4 linked regions of the Arabidopsis thaliana genome follow. The protein of the gene in region 4 interacts with the protein of the main gene of each other region in a pairwise test. Each region holds a gene or a part of one and is shown on either strand. Other genes may lie near its edges.

Region 1 (3,889 bases), on a different chromosome or scaffold from region 4:
TCAATATAGTACTAATACCTATACAATATTTAACAATTTGCTAATAACAAGAACAAAATACATGTGGGCAACGTTTCACAGATCAGATCAAAGTCACGTGCGAAAGTTTATATATATATATATATATATATATATATATATATATATCTCTTATGTGTTGATATCTATCAATTTACATTAACCACCCGCAGAAGAAGATAGGGTTGTTAAATTGATGGGTAGATAGAACTTAACATTCTTTACAAACTTTGTAATTTGTTGTATAGTTTCATGAATGGTGTTAATTCATGGCCTGAAAATACCATCGATGTATACAATCTGATAAGGATAAATTGTTTTGGATTGACCATCTATTAGTTTTAAAATATGATTGTATAACTTGGATTGGTTAGCTTTCAGATTATACTATATATTCAAAACAAGCTTTTGTACGTATATTATATCATTTTATCCGCTTAAAATGTAATTACTAATTTTTCTTTCATATAAGATTCAAGTTTACCTAAAGAAAAAGGATTCAAGATTACCAGTTATCTTTTGCAAAGCTTATTAATTATAAATTCTTAAAATTTTAGATTAAATTAAAATATGGACCGAGTAGCCAACGAATGAATCTCACATCACGGCATAGTTGACTAGTTGTTGTTAGTATATAATATAATCAACATTGCTGCTTCGTTCTGACGTCAATCTGCTGAATCAGCCCCTTCAACAAAAACTACGTCATGGGGCTGACGTCGAGTGTCCGACGAAACTAATGCCGTTTTCATTGGTGCATTAGTCGCCACTCGCCAGCTACATCGCAATTATTTCTCTCTTTAAGCGTTGAAAAATTGTCTAGATCTTACTTGTTAATGTTATTCTATTACCTAATAATTATCTTTTGTCTGGTCTAAATACTTACATTTTTATTTAAAATCTGAACCAAAACTCACCAAAAAATTAGATAATTTTACCATTAAAGATATCCACGACTAGTGGAGTATTTTCATTACAAAAAAATGAATTGATCATATCATATGTGTTCGAAGCTTATTATATTGAGCAAAAAAACATTATTTGTACACGTTTCATCTTTGATGAGGTAAACATTGCGATGGACGTGTAAAATATGTTATACTTTTTTTTTTTGTGAACATCCAATCTATTACATACATTTGTTTTTTTTTGTCATATGAACGTAAAATATATTATTTTCAAAACTCTATATTATTAGTTACCGTATAAATTATAATTAAAACCACCTATCAAAATATTAAATAAAAAATATTTAACGATATACAATCAACAAAATTAAGCAAACAAATTTATTCTTAAATTTCATCTGCTATATATTTTCAAAAAAAAAATAAAAAAAATTGCGACACATATTGAAATGGAAAGATTACAAAAGAAAATTTTAAAATCATTGCTAATTTGGGGTTTATCATAGCTCATATCTCTCTCTAATATATCTGACTTTGTAGAACACAGTTTTCTATTAGATTCCTCCTATCTTGAAACCTTTTAGTGTTCTGAAAGGAGTAGTTTTTAATTTTTAATCTTTAATTATTAAGCGAACCGCGTAGATTAGTGTAATAAGAGAAACAGATAAATTCTGAAACAATTAAAAACAGATTGTATATAATTAAGTGAGCCGCGTACTGGGAAAGGTATATAAAATAAACTCTGTTTCCTATACATCATGACAGATCATATGCTAATGTCAACACCTAATCTATCTTTTTGTCTCTCTTTATTTAGATTCACGCATATAAGTCTAGCAGAGCACATGTCCTATATCGAAATTATAATTTATCATTGGCTTCTTAAAATATAACCTAGTGTATGTAAATTATATTTGGTAAACCCAAATTGGCAAAGTCATTTGGGAACGTGTATGTACGACTAGTCCTATAAATTCTGATCTCCCTATCCGTTCAAAAGTTTATAGCACAGAGAAGAGACTTGAGAAAAAGAAAACAAACAAGAAACACATACACACACACACAAGTTCACTATACTCTATGGAAATGAACTCCCCACACGAAAAGGCGGTGCAAGCTATCCGTTATGGCCATAGCTGCGCCATGCGGTTGAAGAGGCGGCTCAACCATCCAATGGCTGATGGTGGACCGCTTTCAAGTTATGATCTTGCTAAATCGATCGTTGAAAGTTTTTCCAATGCCATTTCAATCTTATCTGCTAAACCAGAAACCGAAGATGATCAGTTTTCTGATTTATCTTCTAGGGATTCTTCTCCTCCTCCACAGGGGAGCCCCTCCAAGAAAAGGTATACACTTATGAGTTTGTTTTCTTTTTTGAGTTTGTTTTTGTTTTTCCAAATGAAACCACAATTCTTAATATAAGTATTTTTTTTCTTAGGAGTATATGTTGATTTTAATGCTAATATTTTGATAATACTCATGTTTGCAGAAAGATTGATAGTACAAATTCAAGTGAGAATTGGAGGGACGATTCACCGGATCCGATTTACTACGACGGGTATCTTTGGAGGAAATATGGTCAAAAGAGTATAAAAAAATCTAATCACCAAAGGTAAGAAATAGTATAGCTAATCATATTTCATCATAATTATTTCTATCCCGATCACTCATACTAATTGGTGTATGATGATGGTAACAGGAGTTACTATAGATGTTCTTACAACAAAGATCATAACTGCGAAGCAAGAAAGCATGAACAAAAGATCAAAGACAATCCTCCGGTTTACCGAACCACTTACTTTGGCCACCACACTTGCAAAACCGAACATAATCTAGATGCCATTTTTATTGCCGGACAAGATCCCCTAGATGACTTTAAAAGTACCCAAATGATCCGATTCGGAAAAGATCAGGATCAGGAGAAGGAAAGCCGCTCGAACGGTTTCTCCTTATCGGTTAAGCATGAAGAAGATATCATCAAAGAGCAAGCTATAGATCAGTACCGTGAGATAACCAGTAATGACCAAGATTGTCAAGATGTTATAGAAGAATATCTATCATCACCATCAGGCTCTTATCCTCCTTCATCGTCATCTGGCAGTGAAAGTGCTGACTTTAATTCTGATTTGTTATTTGACAACCCAGACTCGTGGGATCGTTATGATCAGTTTTACTTTTGATTGCACTAGATTTTTCAGCTAAAACTATTTAATAATGTTTTCCTTTTTATGAGATTGTATATATTTGAGAATTGTGACTATTTAAGTATTTATGTTATTGATTAGATAATCCGAGAACAATATTTATATTCACCCCTAAGAGTTTATTTCCGGCCAATAAAACTCTATCATCTAATAAATAAATTAAAAATTCATTTGATTATAAAATATAAATTTCAACCACTTTTTGTGTAAACCTAAATCGATCTATAATCTCGTTTAATTATAAAATCTAAACTCTCATTCATCTTTAAAAGCTCAAAACCGACATTTTAACCTTGTTTAATTGTAAAATATAAATTCTAACCATTCTTTCTAATCCCAAACTCACATTTAACCTCGTTTAATTGTAAAATCTAAATATGTTTATAAACCAAACCCAACATTTAATTTGACCTCGTTTATTTACAAACTAAACCATAATTCTCCTTTACAAACTCATACCAACATTTAACCTCGTTTAGTTTTAACGTCTATAATCCTAACCATTTTTTCTAAACCCAAATTGATATATTTAACCTCGTTTAAAAATGTAAAATGTAAACCTTTTTATAAACTCATACCAACAATTAACCTCATCTAGTTGAAAAAAATCTAAACTCGTTTATAAACTCAAACCTATATTTTATCTTGTTTAATTATTAAATTTTAATCTTAACTATTTTCTTATAAACTCAAACTAATATATAACTGTTTTTGGTGGCAAATTAATTTTTATAATTTAATATTTTTAATTAAGTGGTA
Region 2 (5,273 bases), on a different chromosome or scaffold from region 4:
CCCATAGAAACAATTATAATTTGTTGAATAATAGTTTTGCTCTTGCTTAAACAACAAATAATCATACTTGTTAAATCAATGAAATTCAGCTGTTAAAAAACAAATAATCATATACATTGTTATAGGTTATTATAAATAGACAACTCATAATTTGTGAGATTGTATATTTTAAACCATCCATGAATTTTTAATTATTTTACTTTGATATGTAAAAACTCCACTTGCGTAAGAGGTGAAGCCTTCTGGAATACAAGTCTGATAAGAAGAGATGAGAAAAAAAAAAAAAAAAATTAGTTTTCTATAGTCTACTCTAAATATGCAAATACAAGCACCCAAAAACATGAACAAAATTTTGAAGAAAGGAGTACAATCAAATATGCAAGGCATGATTTTTTTTCATTCAACTCTAAGAAACTTGCATTATATATGTGATAAATTCACAAAACTACTAGTATTAGTAGTCAAAACTCAATAGTCAACCCATTTTTCCATAAAGGCATGAAGTTCATGAACATTGATGATCAACAATTGGGCTCATTTTCAGCGTGATTTTCATGGGCCAGTTATACTAGAGGATCAGTTCAGACCTTATCCATATTTGGATTATTTTTTCTTTTATTCCTCTTTTTATTTTGTTAAAATGATATCAATTTCTTACATATACTCCTTTTTTAGTTCACTAAAAAAATTAGTGAGTGGATAAAAATAATTTTATTTCTTGGTGAAAATTCTAGGAAGAGCATCATTGACACCACCACTATTCTCACTTGCTTTTCTTTATTTCCCTTGATATGACATTCAATTCACGAGTTGTTTTTTTGTTCCTTTTCTCCTGAGTCGGCTACTTTTTTAATCGGATGCTTTGCTTTGTACTCTTTTAATCACAGCCGTCACATTTGCTATATCTCTATTCACTTCTACGGCTTTGATTAAAGCCCAAATTTAAACCTTATCGTACGATCTCAAAATCTTGTGCAACTTCAACATGTGTCCACTGTCTAGTTTGTCTGTGCGGATCTAGTTAGTGCGGTTAAGTTAAACCGGAGAGGTTCAGGTTATGTTAACCATGGTTAAGGTTTTGTCTGACAGTGAGGGAAGAAAGTCACGGAGTTGGGTAAAACGGCGACAAGATATGACTAGAGACACACTCCTTCTTCAATTTCCTAAATTACCCTTCCTTACTTGACCGGAACTCTCACTCGAGATTTTTCTACGTCGGCTTTATCGTAATATCGGTGTCACACGTACGTGGGAGAGACATGTACATTCTTTTCCCCCTCCTGAAAAACCAAATAAAATAGCTTCAATCTTTGGTTGAAAAACTTGAAATATGTTCTTGATTTACGCTGCAAAATTATGTACATTTTTTAAGATCAAAGGACCAACTACAATTGTTTCTGCTAAAGTCTTTTCTTTTGTTATTTTTATCAAAATATGTTGATTTTGTAGATTTGAGAAAAGAAAATTTTTGATTAGGAAAAACAAACAAACAGTTGACTATTTACTTGGTTGGGGAAGCAAATTAAATTATACCATCGTAATCCACACGTACACATTGTTTTTAACTTTTGACAAAATAATTGTTTAGCTACCTAACAAATTGACATATTGTGTGGCAAATTTATAAATAAATAATTACATATATCTCACTGAGACGCCATGCAGATTCGTATGTTTATACAATGCCTCACCCATTTCTTGAATTCTCTCAATTGATCTTCCCATGATGTTCATTTATTATTTGCTTTATGTATATCTTTGTAGAATGGTAGTATTACTATTAAAGTATCAAATTACCATGACGACCTATAGAAAAATGTTTTTAGAAAAGCATAGGGATATGTGTCTTATGGACAGTGGATAAGAGAGTGGTCCTAAAAACAGACCATAAATTATGGGATCTTCCCTTAGTTCCTTTATTGTTATCATATTTTAATTACTCTTATTAGTATTTTTTTAATGGTCAAGTTGTTTATTGGAATTACGCATTTAATTATTTTTCTAATTCGTATACTTGTGAGAAACAGAACAGCACGCTTTGCTTCTTTTACTAGACAAACCCTTAATTAGCGATATTTGAGGCAGAAAAAAAGACAAGGTTGCGTGTGTTTTACTCCACAAAAGAACTCCTAAAACCAAAAACGTTAAAACCCACTTCTTTTTTTTCACAGTATTCTCTTTTCATGTCAAGAACAATTACTGTTTTTCTTGGTATGCAATCTGTAAATTTATTGTAGTTTTCATTTCTACTTTTGGGGTTTAGGAGTAAAAGTGGAGTCACTCTACTTTGCTTTACCTTTTTCTGAGTTTTTTTTTGTTCATACAAATCCAAATTTCCTTTTCTTTGTATTCCTATTTTTTCTCTTCTCGTCCCTTTCAGAATCTTTAGAGAGAGAGAACAACAAATTGAGAAAGAAAAAAAGGTAAGGCTGTGTGAGAGAGAACCCACCAAAGCGTGCACGAGAGAGAGAAAAAAAAAGCTTTGATTTTGTATAAAATCCCACCACTGCTCTCTTACCATACCTTCATTACACATCTCTCTTTCTCTCTCTCGCTCTCAGTTTTGTGGGATTGTTTCTTTAAAAGGGGTTCTTAGGGTTTAGTGAAGCTATAGATTTCAATTTCATACATAGTTAACGTATAGAAGGAATCTTGGGTTGATCAATGGAAGGTTGTCCAAGAAACAGAGAAATCGGTCCAAAACTTCTTGATTTGATTCCACAAGGAAGGAAATGGTACCAAGAAGACAAGAACAACACAGATCAGGAGAAGAAACTTGAGCTAAGGCTTGGACCACCCGGTGGTGATGAAGAAGATCATTCAGCAATCAAGAAGAAGAACACAGAGATAAGAAACATCAAGAAGGAAACAGAAGACAAATCTTTCCACTGTTTTAATGGCAATCACTTCTCTCCTTCCAACAAAACCACTTCTGTTCCTCACATCTCACAGAAAAGGTATAATCTCCTTTTTTTTCCTTCACTGTTATTTTTTCTTACTGCTTTGACAGAGGATATTCTCTTGAACATTAGGGACCCATCTTCTGCAATCTGTGTTTTTTTTTTTACCTTCACATGTTAAAAGTTTCAACATTTACTCTGTTTTGCTCTGTTTTTGTCGTTTGGTATTGACATATGTCTCTTGTTTCTTTTGATATCTGGTTCAAAGAACTGCTCCTGGTCCAGTGGTGGGTTGGCCTCCGGTTCGTTCGTTCAGAAAGAATCTAGCGAGCACAAGCTCTTCAAAGCTAGGTAACGAATCCTCTCATGGAGGTCAAATCAACAAGAGTGATGATGGTGAAAAACAAGTTGAAACCAAGAAGGAAGGAATGTTTGTCAAGATCAACATGGATGGTGTTCCTATTGGTCGTAAAGTTGATCTCAATGCTTACAACAGCTACGAACAGCTCTCTTTTGTCGTTGACAAACTCTTCAGAGGTCTACTCGCAGGTTAAATCTTAATCTCAAATTCTGTTTTTTAGTTCTTTAGGAGTGTTACTTGTGTTTACTGAGTATGATTTGTGTATGTTGTTGGTTTATAGCTCAAAGAGATATCTCTGATGGTCAAGGAGAAGAGAAACCTATCATTGGATTATTAGATGGGAAAGGAGAATTTACTTTAACCTATGAAGACAATGAAGGGGACAAGATGCTTGTTGGGGATGTTCCATGGCAGTAAGAATCTTTTCCCCTTTTGTTCTCTGAATCTGATTCAGTGTTTTGCAGAATTAGATTCTTGATCATATAACAACAAAAGTTCTCAGCTTTTAATCAATAGTAGTAGTAATTCAAATTGATAATTCTTTACCTAAAGAATAGAATTTTGCTTGGAGATTTGTTTATACCTCTTTTTTTGCATACTAACTGATCTTTAATCTTTGTTTTTAAACACAGAATGTTTGTTTCATCTGTGAAGAGACTGCGTGTGATTAAAAGCTCTGAGATTTCATCTGCCTTGACATGTAAGCTTCTGTTCTTATATGTTTAGATGATTTATTAGAGCTATATGATTAAAAGGGTTCCTCTGTATATTTGCAGTTGGATGCAGTAAGCAAGAGAAGATGATGCACTGAAGAGTCTTTTTAGAAACTTTTATTTCAGACAGAGAGTCTCAAAGCTTTATAAATGTACATCTGGTTTTTGTTATATATAAGAGTTAATCATTGGTTTTTTACTTTTTTTTTGGTCCAGAGAAACATTTGATCTGATCTGATATTCCCATGTCTTCAAGACACTAGACGATGAGATTACATAAGCAATCTGTGTTTATAAGCATTTTAATTAATTAAGGAGATAATTAGAACATACTGTAATAATTATCTCATGCATGTCTGCAAAACTCTTTTTGAAAAAAGAAGATGAAATTTTTATTCTCTGTAAAAGCTCTTTTAACTTTTGTTCCTTCCAACTTTGGCTATACCTTTAATCATGTAAAAAGCTGAGAATGAAAGGCCATTATTGTTGTTTTTGTTGTTGTCTTTTTTTTTCTTCTTGTTTTTACTATTTAACCTGAGTATGCATGTATATAAGAAGATAAGATTGGAAGTTGAAAACTCAAAAAAGACTTTTCAGAATGAGATCAGTCCATGTCGTGATAATTTTGGTGGCTATATCATCTCTTTTGTTCTTCTAGGTGCAGAATTTAGCAGCTTTTTATCCTGACTTTTTAAATCATACATACACATTGTAACTTATTGGACAGTGTCTTGGTGGATCGACTAAAACATCACTATAGATATGTTTAATTTAGCACATTGTTTTCGTGATAAATATATTCATACCACAAGCATCACTTGGCCGACTTGTATTCATCTTAAAAATTTTATTCGAAGTTGTCCTTCTCATTACCAGATGAGTGTTGTGGTTAAACAATATAACCATTGAAATTGATGCAGCCAAATAGTTTGATAATAACATTTTTTGGTAGCTAAATAATGGTATATGTTTTAACTTTTAACCAAACCAAAAAAGAAACATTTTCGAAACATATGTAAAGCGATAGCCGCAACATAATGAGTTGGAAAATTCCGTTGTTTCATTTGTTGCAAAATGTCGCACCAGTGCCGGCTCTAGGGGAGTGCTAGAGGAGCAAAAGCACAGGGTCCTCAATTTTTTTTTCAATTTTCTTTAAGGTTTTAGGGTCCAAAAATTACAGAAATTAAAAACCAATATTAACTAAAGTCAGTTTTTATAAATCAGCAAAAGGTCTTCAAAAAGTTTGAACCGGCCCTGCGCACCACTTATTATATTTTCATTGTTTGGAACCTAAAGATA
Region 3 (3,447 bases), on a different chromosome or scaffold from region 4:
AATAGGTACCAAGTTTTCAGCAGTGGGCCTATAGCTCCGATTACAAATCGATTCATCAGAAAAAACAAAAACACATGAACTCGATTTCGATTTCAAAACAAACAAAGTAGAGGAAGCGACGAAACTTACATCCTGAACTTGACGGGACCTTTCCAACCAGTAGACACTAAACCCTTCATCCTTAAACCCCCAAATTTCACAAATTGAGTTTCGAAGAGAGTCAGCGAGAGAGTGTGGGAAATTTCAATTTCTCGATCTTTTTCCGGCGCTAGCTTAATTTATTTCAGAATCACCCTTATATTCTAATGTCTTTACACATTTCACCTCTAATTTGGAATTTTCCCATTTTGGGACGAATTATCTGGATCCGATCCTACGATCAATTGCAGCATTTGGGCTTTAAACGAGCTTGTTAGTCATTTAGTGGGCTTTAAATGGGCTCAACATTAAAATTGTACATTGGTGACAACCAACGAGACGGCTGCCGGCAGATCAAAGAGAATCATTCTCTTCCTGACAACGTTCCTCTATTCCATGTTCGTGCTCCCCATAACAACGTTCGTGTACTTTTTTCCTAGTCATGTAACACATTCGAAGAAACACACGATTACAAACATATAAAAAATCTTTGCATTATTATTATTCAGAACAAAAAAGAGAAGTCTTGGATATTGTGATTTATTTATAAGAAAAAACACACTCAAAGGTGTCATATAAATAAATATATGCATCAATCAATTCTCCAACTTCTTCAAGGCCTTTGTTGCAATATGCAGCAATAGCTCCGTCCCGCCTCAAGTCTCTTCATCAATGCCTAAATCTTACACGTCTCGTAACTGCGCAATCACAGCCTTGACCGATCCAAGTTTTAATACCTCTCCGGTCTCGTGATCTTTAGTCTTCTCACGGTTTCAAGAAACATACTAAACAAAAACATCGATTTCAAAAATTAGAGAATAGCTATAACCGAGGAAATTATACCAATGTAAGATCAAGATATAAGATTCATACTCCCATGGAATATCTCCGACCATCATCCAATCTCCATCCTTGTCTTCATATGTCAAAACATGATGTTTTCGATCTCGATTACCGCCTGTTATAGCCAAGACAATGCATGGATATACTTCAAACTGTTTGAATTTAGTTGAATGTTGTTTTTACGGAATTATGTGTTGTTCATTAATTACTTACAGATGATTGAAGTATCGAACATGTGAGAGAGATTTTCTAATAGACTCTCGTAGCCTGAGAATACGCAAAGGTCGAGTTTTCTTCCAATGGGAACACCTTCCATATAAACCTTAACAAAGAGAGAAGTGTCATCACCACGACGAAGAAGACGACGACCCTTTAGTGTATCTCTTAATCTAGACTTTATCGGTGGCCAATCTTGTCTTGCTTCTCTACAAAAAAATAAAGATTTAAAACACAAATGTGAACAAAAGAAAACAGAGCAAAAACAGAACATAGGAAAAAACAGAGAAGTGATGTGAATAAGACCTTTGTGGAGAAGTAGAAGGAAATGTGAGACTAAGGGAGAGATTAACAGAAGATTCAGAAGGAGAAGGTTTAGTACTGTCGACAGAGGATGAAGAAAATGAAGAACAAGAGTTAGAGACCTCCATTAATGAGACCTTGAAGCTGCAGAGCTAGCTTCATGCTTCCTTCTCTTCTCTATTGAGAGTGCTCTTCATGTCTCTCTCTCTCTATTTCTATTTCTCTCTGTCTAGTTAAACAAAAAAGGACTAGTAGGTGATTCTATTGCATAGATTTTGAATTTAAAAATTGATTTAATCGACTTTGAAATTTAATATAAATAAATAATAGGAACATAAGGTTCCCCACATTTAACTATGAACTTTCAACCTTCTAAATATGAACACACATTGATTTCTGAAAACCACTGTAATAATTACCCGATTAGATACTTAATTCATGGGTTTAGATCTTTGGAGTTAGTTAGTAGTAAAAATGTGAAATTATGGTTTTGAGATTTGTTTACATGTAAGATTCGAAGTTTCCGTAAAAAGGTGGTATCCAAGGAAAGTGTGTCTAAATGATGTTGGAGTTAATCTGTTAAGGCTTTGATTTTAATTTCTCAACTGCTCAGATTCTTTAATTAGGAGAGATAAGGGCCAAAAAAGGCTTTATTGTCTAGCCGTAAACAGAAACAGAGCATCACATCACTTTCACTTTCTTACACATCAATATTTGAAAGAAAAAAACTGAGTCTATAGACTATGAACTTGGGGGATCAATTTTTTAGACCCTTCTGTTGATAAGAAAACTCAATTGTCTCTTATGACACATTAATGTAACAGACCATTGAAAATTGCAGAACCAATAAAAATAAGGTAGACTTGAAGAGTTTTGTGTATATTGTTTTTGTGGAGCAGACAGTGTTCTTTTCTTTAACTATACGTTTCCTGTTAATGTCTCTTTAGCTTTGTGGATTGTCTCTCTTAGAAGCCCAAATCTTTTACTCTTTTTTGAAAATCAAAATAGAATTCGTTGATTTATGATAACTTCAAAATATAAAGTAGACATAAATTGTTACATCACATAATGCTCATTGGCTGTATTGATAATAATATTAGATTCTAGAATCATCATGGGAAGTGCACTCTAATAGTTACTTTGTAATAAAGCCTACCTTGGATGTTGGATCGATAAGACTCCTATTAGCTATTATACGATCTGTCTTTGGACATGCATGTCTGGTCTCTAGGGATCCTTCTTGTTAGAATTTCGATATATATAACTTTATAATGTCTAGTAGTCTAATGATGAATGTTTACTCCTCTTTATACTTATAATAATAATTAAGACTACTATAAGTCTATAATCAATTAAACTTTTATCAAAAAAATATGTCCAAGGAGTTATTACTCGCATACCTCGACTTAAAAGAGTTTTGTCATTAGTTTTCGTTGAAGTAAGTAAGAACCAAAGATAATAATCAAACTCCTGATTTTCTGAAGTTTCTTAAAATGGTATTCAAATTTTGGCCATAACTCTCAATATATTAAGACCGAGCATGCGAACGAGAAAAAATATGATCACCATGGTTTGCAGCTCGATTACTTCTAAGTTCTAACCATGGTAAATTTAAACGTTTTGTTGAAGTAATATAGAGAGGCATGCAATAGTATTGTGCCAAAAAGTTATAGCAAGAGAGATCAATATCATGATATGTACTCCTAAATTAACGTGGCATGTTCATGCATAGACAAAGATGCAATCATATCTCCACGTTTGCATACAGCTTCAAATAATAAAATCATATAGTCATACAAACAAAATGAATGTCCGCTGCTTATGAAAATTAATTATTTGGATAGTACTTCGTATAAAAGTTACATCAAATGATTTTAGTTGATTTTAAGACAAGGGGTCCCTTGAGTGATACACAAACTCATCATGAGTATTCTGATCCATTTCATG
Region 4 (4,236 bases):
GTAACAAACAGAAAACAACAAATTACGTGAATATAAAAACTTATCTTATTGATTTGGTTAAGTTTAACACTCTTTACCTATCACAAAATGTTTATATTCCTACTATAAGCATGTAACTTGTTATATAAGTGAGACTTTATTGTTTCGTTACAGGTTTGAGCTGGGATTAGAGAAGCCTGATCCAAAAAGAGCGTTACAAAGCGCGTTCACGATTGCAATCGCTTATGTTCTTGGCGGTTTTATACCGTTACTTCCCTACATGCTCATACCGCATGCCATGGATGCGGTAGTGGCGTCTGTGGTTATAACTCTGTTTGCGCTCTTCATATTTGGCTATGCAAAAGGGCATTTCACTGGAAGCAAGCCCCTCAGAAGTGCGTTTGAAACCGCCTTTATAGGAGCGATTGCTTCAGCTGCTGCTTTTTGTTTGGCTAAAGTTGTGCAACATTAGCAGTAACAAAACTAGTGTTGCGTTTGATGTTTTGTGTACTTTGAGACTTGTTTGTTGCATGTCTTGTGGTTATTATCAGGCTAAAACTTTTGGCAACCATAATAAAGTGAGAGATAACAATTCAAAATATTGGTTACATAATTACTTTCCTAAGCTAACATTGCAGACACACAAGTTTTCTTCTGACATTAATCCATTCCTGAAGATTTAAAAGAAACAGTTGCAGAGCCTTCTCTTCTTAAGCGTATCCATATTGGTCACTATCTTTGTCTTGAAGATCTTTCCAAGATCCAAGATTCTTCATTGACATTTGATCCATACCCTTGTCTGATTCTGTTGTTGTTAACGTCACCTCTCTGTCTGAAATTTGCTGAGGAAGATAGACCATGAACCGCCACAGAAACAGGACGGTTAGAAGCGGATGATACATCAACCGAGAAGTGTTCATTTTGAGATCTACCAAGATTGTCATTAGGAATCCAAACTCCAAAACTAGCAGAGTGATGATTGTCTATTGGTTGACCAAACAATGCAGCTAATGTCTGTGGATGTAATTGTCCTGAGGAAACCAGAGCTTGAATGTTTTCATATCTTTTGGTAGACTCAGAGTCATTACTCTGCGAAGCTTCACCGCTTAATCTCTTCAAATACAATCGGAACTTCTGCAAATGGTATTGATTCAGTCATAACCCTTATAGAGACCCTAATAAGAAGAAAGATTCAATCAATCAATCAAAGAAACCTGTAAATGACTAGCCACGTTTTCTCTGCTTAAACCAGGAACATTCATCAACTCGAGAATCCGCTTTGGTACAGCTTCTGAAACAATAAGAGAGATTCTTATAAGCACAAATTACTTTGAATTTCTTCTACAAGCAATAAGATAGTGTTTAGGATCATACTGTCAATTCCAAGTTTGTTTACGGCATTAACGAATTGTTGATGCAATTCAATAGACCAAACAACGCGTGACTTCTTCGAGTTTCCAGGATCAAGAAGAAGATCATCTTCATTATCATCTCTATCAACACTTCTCTTCTTCTTCTTCTTCTTATTCCTACATTTCATCAAACTTTCCTCTGAGCATTCACTAACCGAAACAACAACAGTCTCGAGGCTACCACTGTTCTTGTTATCCTCTAAAGCTTGAGAACTTCGAAGCTCTTTCTTCATCACACATTTCCTTCTAACAACATGTTGCCAAATGTTCTTAAGCTCTTCAGGACGAATAGGTTTGATTAGATAATCACAAGCTCCATGGTTGATTCCAGTCATGACTGTAGTTGTTCTTCCATCAACAGACATCACTAGAAACAGAGCAAATGTAAGAAACATTGATGCAAAGATTCAATCTTTAGAGACAAAACATAACAACAGAGTCTTACTAATGACAGGAAGATCCATTTCAAGAAGACCAACTTGTTGAAGAAGATTGTAACCATTCATACCAGGCATATGAACATCACTTAGCACCAAATCAAAACTGTCTTTTCTTTCTCTTAGAATGGTTAACGCAACATCAGCTTGTGAGCAAATTGTAACTACAAAGAGAAGATAAAACAAAAATGTTAAAACTTTCTTGAGAAAATCTATTAAAAGGTGGGAACTTTGATAAAGAATTAGACCTTGGTACATGAGACGGAGAAGCATTTTCTCGAGAATGAACAAGCATGAAGTATCATCGTCTACAACGAGTATTCTTAACCCACTAGGAAACTGATCGTTGATCGGCATTAAGCTTTGGTGTGAGTATTGAAAACCCTAGAGAACTGAGAAAGAGATTTTGGTTGGAGAAGAAAGAAGAAGAAATGATTGAAGACGTACAGTGTTGAGTAAGTAGCCACTGGTTTGAAGAGAGAGGCAACGAAAGCGACTGGTAATAGCTGTAGTGGCACTCTGTTGTAATTAATCCAATTGGTACTACCCTTATTTGTAAACATACACGAGTCCTTTAAAATCTTATCTATAGACAAAGTCACGGTCCTCATGCACTACAATATCAGAATGCTTATCACGCCGGCGAATTTATCCGGTGGCATAGCCGGATTATTCGTTTTCGGACAGAAAGATCAAATGACTAAAATACCCTCGCTCACAAACTCGTATAACTACCGGAAAAAACTTTTCACCGTCCCTCCAGTGGCGGAGAGAAGAAGAGCTTTGAAGATGTTCTGGTGCGGTGCTCGGAGAAGGGTGAGAGACGAGGGAGGTGGTGAAGATGAAGATGAAATGTATGGATACAACGAGGAAATGGCGATGTTGGAGATATATAGCCAGTCGTGTAGAGAAGAAGCGCTTATAGTGACGGCCATTGTCGACGATGAAGAAGTGGAAGTTGTAATCTTTAAAGGAGTGTCGTCGTGCTTGAGCGGAGAAACGGCGGTGGATCCGGCGAGGAGTGTGTTGCCGGAGAGAGCAGTCATTACAAAGATTGATAGAGTGAGAGGTCCTTTTGATCCTTCACAGATTCATTATATTCAAAGGGACATCTCTTTTCAAGCCTTCAAGGAGACCAGACTCAACTAATGTTAGTGAATGTTGTGTCTGGATCAATGAAACTAATGACAATTTCAATTTTTTCACTAATAACTCTCACCTCTGTTTCTGAACTAATTTCTTAAATCTATAACATACCCCAAAATGAGAAAAATGGACAAAGGTAAGATAGAGAGAGATACAATAAATCACACACTAAGCTCAAGTTAGTAGTTAAAACACAAACCTAACTCTTTTCTATATATGAGGAAAACAATAAACATCAGCCAAGAAATTAAAAATCAGTTTTTAACTTTGAAATCTTACTATGTTAAGAAGCACACAAACCTCCCATATTGGATTTCTATATTTGTATGCTTTTTGTCATTCCTTCAATCTATTAACCACTGAATTGAGATTCATATTTTGCTCGTGGAATCGACTTCTTTGATCACTGCGTGCTCCTCGTCATCCCCATTCGTCCTGAGCCTCTGCTAAAACAACAATGCAAAGCAAACGTTCAAGTGTTAAAGAAAACTAACCTAACCAACTTATAATCGTTACATTGGGTCATTATAATAAGAAAACATCAGGTACCTTCCAGAAAGTAACTGTGCAGTTGTTGAAGCTCCTTTTGAGTTAGTAGAGTGACGTCTCGTTCTACTATCTGATCCTTTGTTATCCACACGCATAGCTGAAACCTCTTTCTCCATTGCTGCTACTTCTCTTCGCATCTTCTTTGCTTCCACTTCCATCGCCTTTGTTAGTGTTTCAACCTTCTTGGCCAACATCTAAAAGCAAACACAAGCCCAAGTATTTTGATCAGAGAATATAAATAAATATAAGCAAACGTTTCTTGGAAAGGTGTAAAACTAATGACTAACCTCAATAGCTTCGTCTTTATCTCTAAGGCTTTGATCTTTATCATTAGCAGCTTTCCTTAAAGTTATCACCTCCTTTTGAAGCAAATCATGTAATACTCCTGGGACACTATCATTATTTGTCCCTGCTGCTTTCTCTGAATCTCCTTGTTTTGTTGAATTAGGTGACCCGCCTCCGCTTGTTCCTTCAGAAGATTGGTTCAATGGAAACTTCGATCTGGGTTCGTTTGTTAGTACTTTACTCCTATCTAAAGATCTACTGCCTCCGTCAAATGATCTGGATGTTCCTTTCGCATGCTTCAATATTGTGCTTGTACTAGCATTCAAAGATCTAAACTGAGAACTTGGTGACCTCTTGGAGAAAAATCCATTTGATGTCAGTTTCGGAATAATATCAGCTCCGCCAAGGGATTGTCTTCGAGAAGGCCC

What was found.
Region 1: the proteins of RR14 (region 4) and WRKY38 interact in binary tests that used the Arabidopsis thaliana proteins (3 or more experiments, as listed by UniProt).
Region 2: the proteins of RR14 (region 4) and PAP1 interact in binary tests that used the Arabidopsis thaliana proteins (3 or more experiments, as listed by UniProt).
Region 3: the proteins of RR14 (region 4) and IAA31 interact in binary tests that used the Arabidopsis thaliana proteins (3 or more experiments, as listed by UniProt).

What each region holds. Positions count from the first base shown.
Region 1 is NC_003076.8:7,494,825-7,498,713, reverse strand, and holds WRKY38 (WRKY DNA-binding protein 38), read left to right. Parts: upstream 1-1,723; 5' UTR 1,724-2,006; coding exon 2,007-2,272; intron 2,273-2,415; coding exon 2,416-2,538; intron 2,539-2,625; coding exon 2,626-3,106; 3' UTR 3,107-3,259; downstream 3,260-3,889. UniProt on the Arabidopsis thaliana protein: Transcription factor. Interacts specifically with the W box (5'-(T)TGAC[CT]-3'), a frequently occurring elicitor-responsive cis-acting element.
Region 2 is NC_003074.8:5,611,600-5,616,872, reverse strand, and holds PAP1 (phytochrome-associated protein 1), read left to right. Parts: upstream 1-2,069; 5' UTR 2,070-2,664; coding exon 2,665-2,957; intron 2,958-3,168; coding exon 3,169-3,449; intron 3,450-3,541; coding exon 3,542-3,674; intron 3,675-3,893; coding exon 3,894-3,961; coding exon of another isoform or gene 3,962-3,987; exon of another isoform or gene 3,988-4,037; coding exon 4,038-4,072; 3' UTR 4,073-4,670; downstream 4,671-5,273. UniProt on the Arabidopsis thaliana protein: Aux/IAA proteins are short-lived transcriptional factors that function as repressors of early auxin response genes at low auxin concentrations.
Region 3 is NC_003074.8:6,019,413-6,022,859, forward strand, and holds IAA31 (indole-3-acetic acid inducible 31), read right to left. Parts: upstream 1,736-3,447; 5' UTR 1,629-1,735; coding exon 1,504-1,628; intron 1,407-1,503; coding exon 1,195-1,406; intron 1,097-1,194; coding exon 1,012-1,096; intron 924-1,011; coding exon 869-923; 3' UTR 561-868; downstream 1-560. Other genes in the region: BSH (transcription regulatory protein SNF5, putative (BSH)), read right to left, coding at 1-34, 130-179. UniProt on the Arabidopsis thaliana protein: Aux/IAA proteins are short-lived transcriptional factors that function as repressors of early auxin response genes at low auxin concentrations.
Region 4 is NC_003071.7:330,990-335,225, reverse strand, and holds RR14 (response regulator 14), read right to left. Parts: upstream 2,325-4,236; 5' UTR 2,186-2,324; coding exon 1,837-2,185; intron 1,759-1,836; coding exon 1,354-1,758; intron 1,271-1,353; coding exon 1,194-1,270; intron 1,114-1,193; coding exon 712-1,113; 3' UTR 530-711; downstream 1-529. Other genes in the region: VIT1 (vacuolar iron transporter 1), read left to right, coding at 154-451; AT2G01755 (uncharacterized protein), read left to right, coding at 2,438-2,977; MAP70-3 (microtubule-associated proteins 70-3), read right to left, coding at 3,378-3,420, 3,524-3,717, 3,811-4,236. UniProt on the Arabidopsis thaliana protein: Transcriptional activator that binds specifically to the DNA sequence 5'-[AG]GATT-3'. Functions as a response regulator involved in His-to-Asp phosphorelay signal transduction system.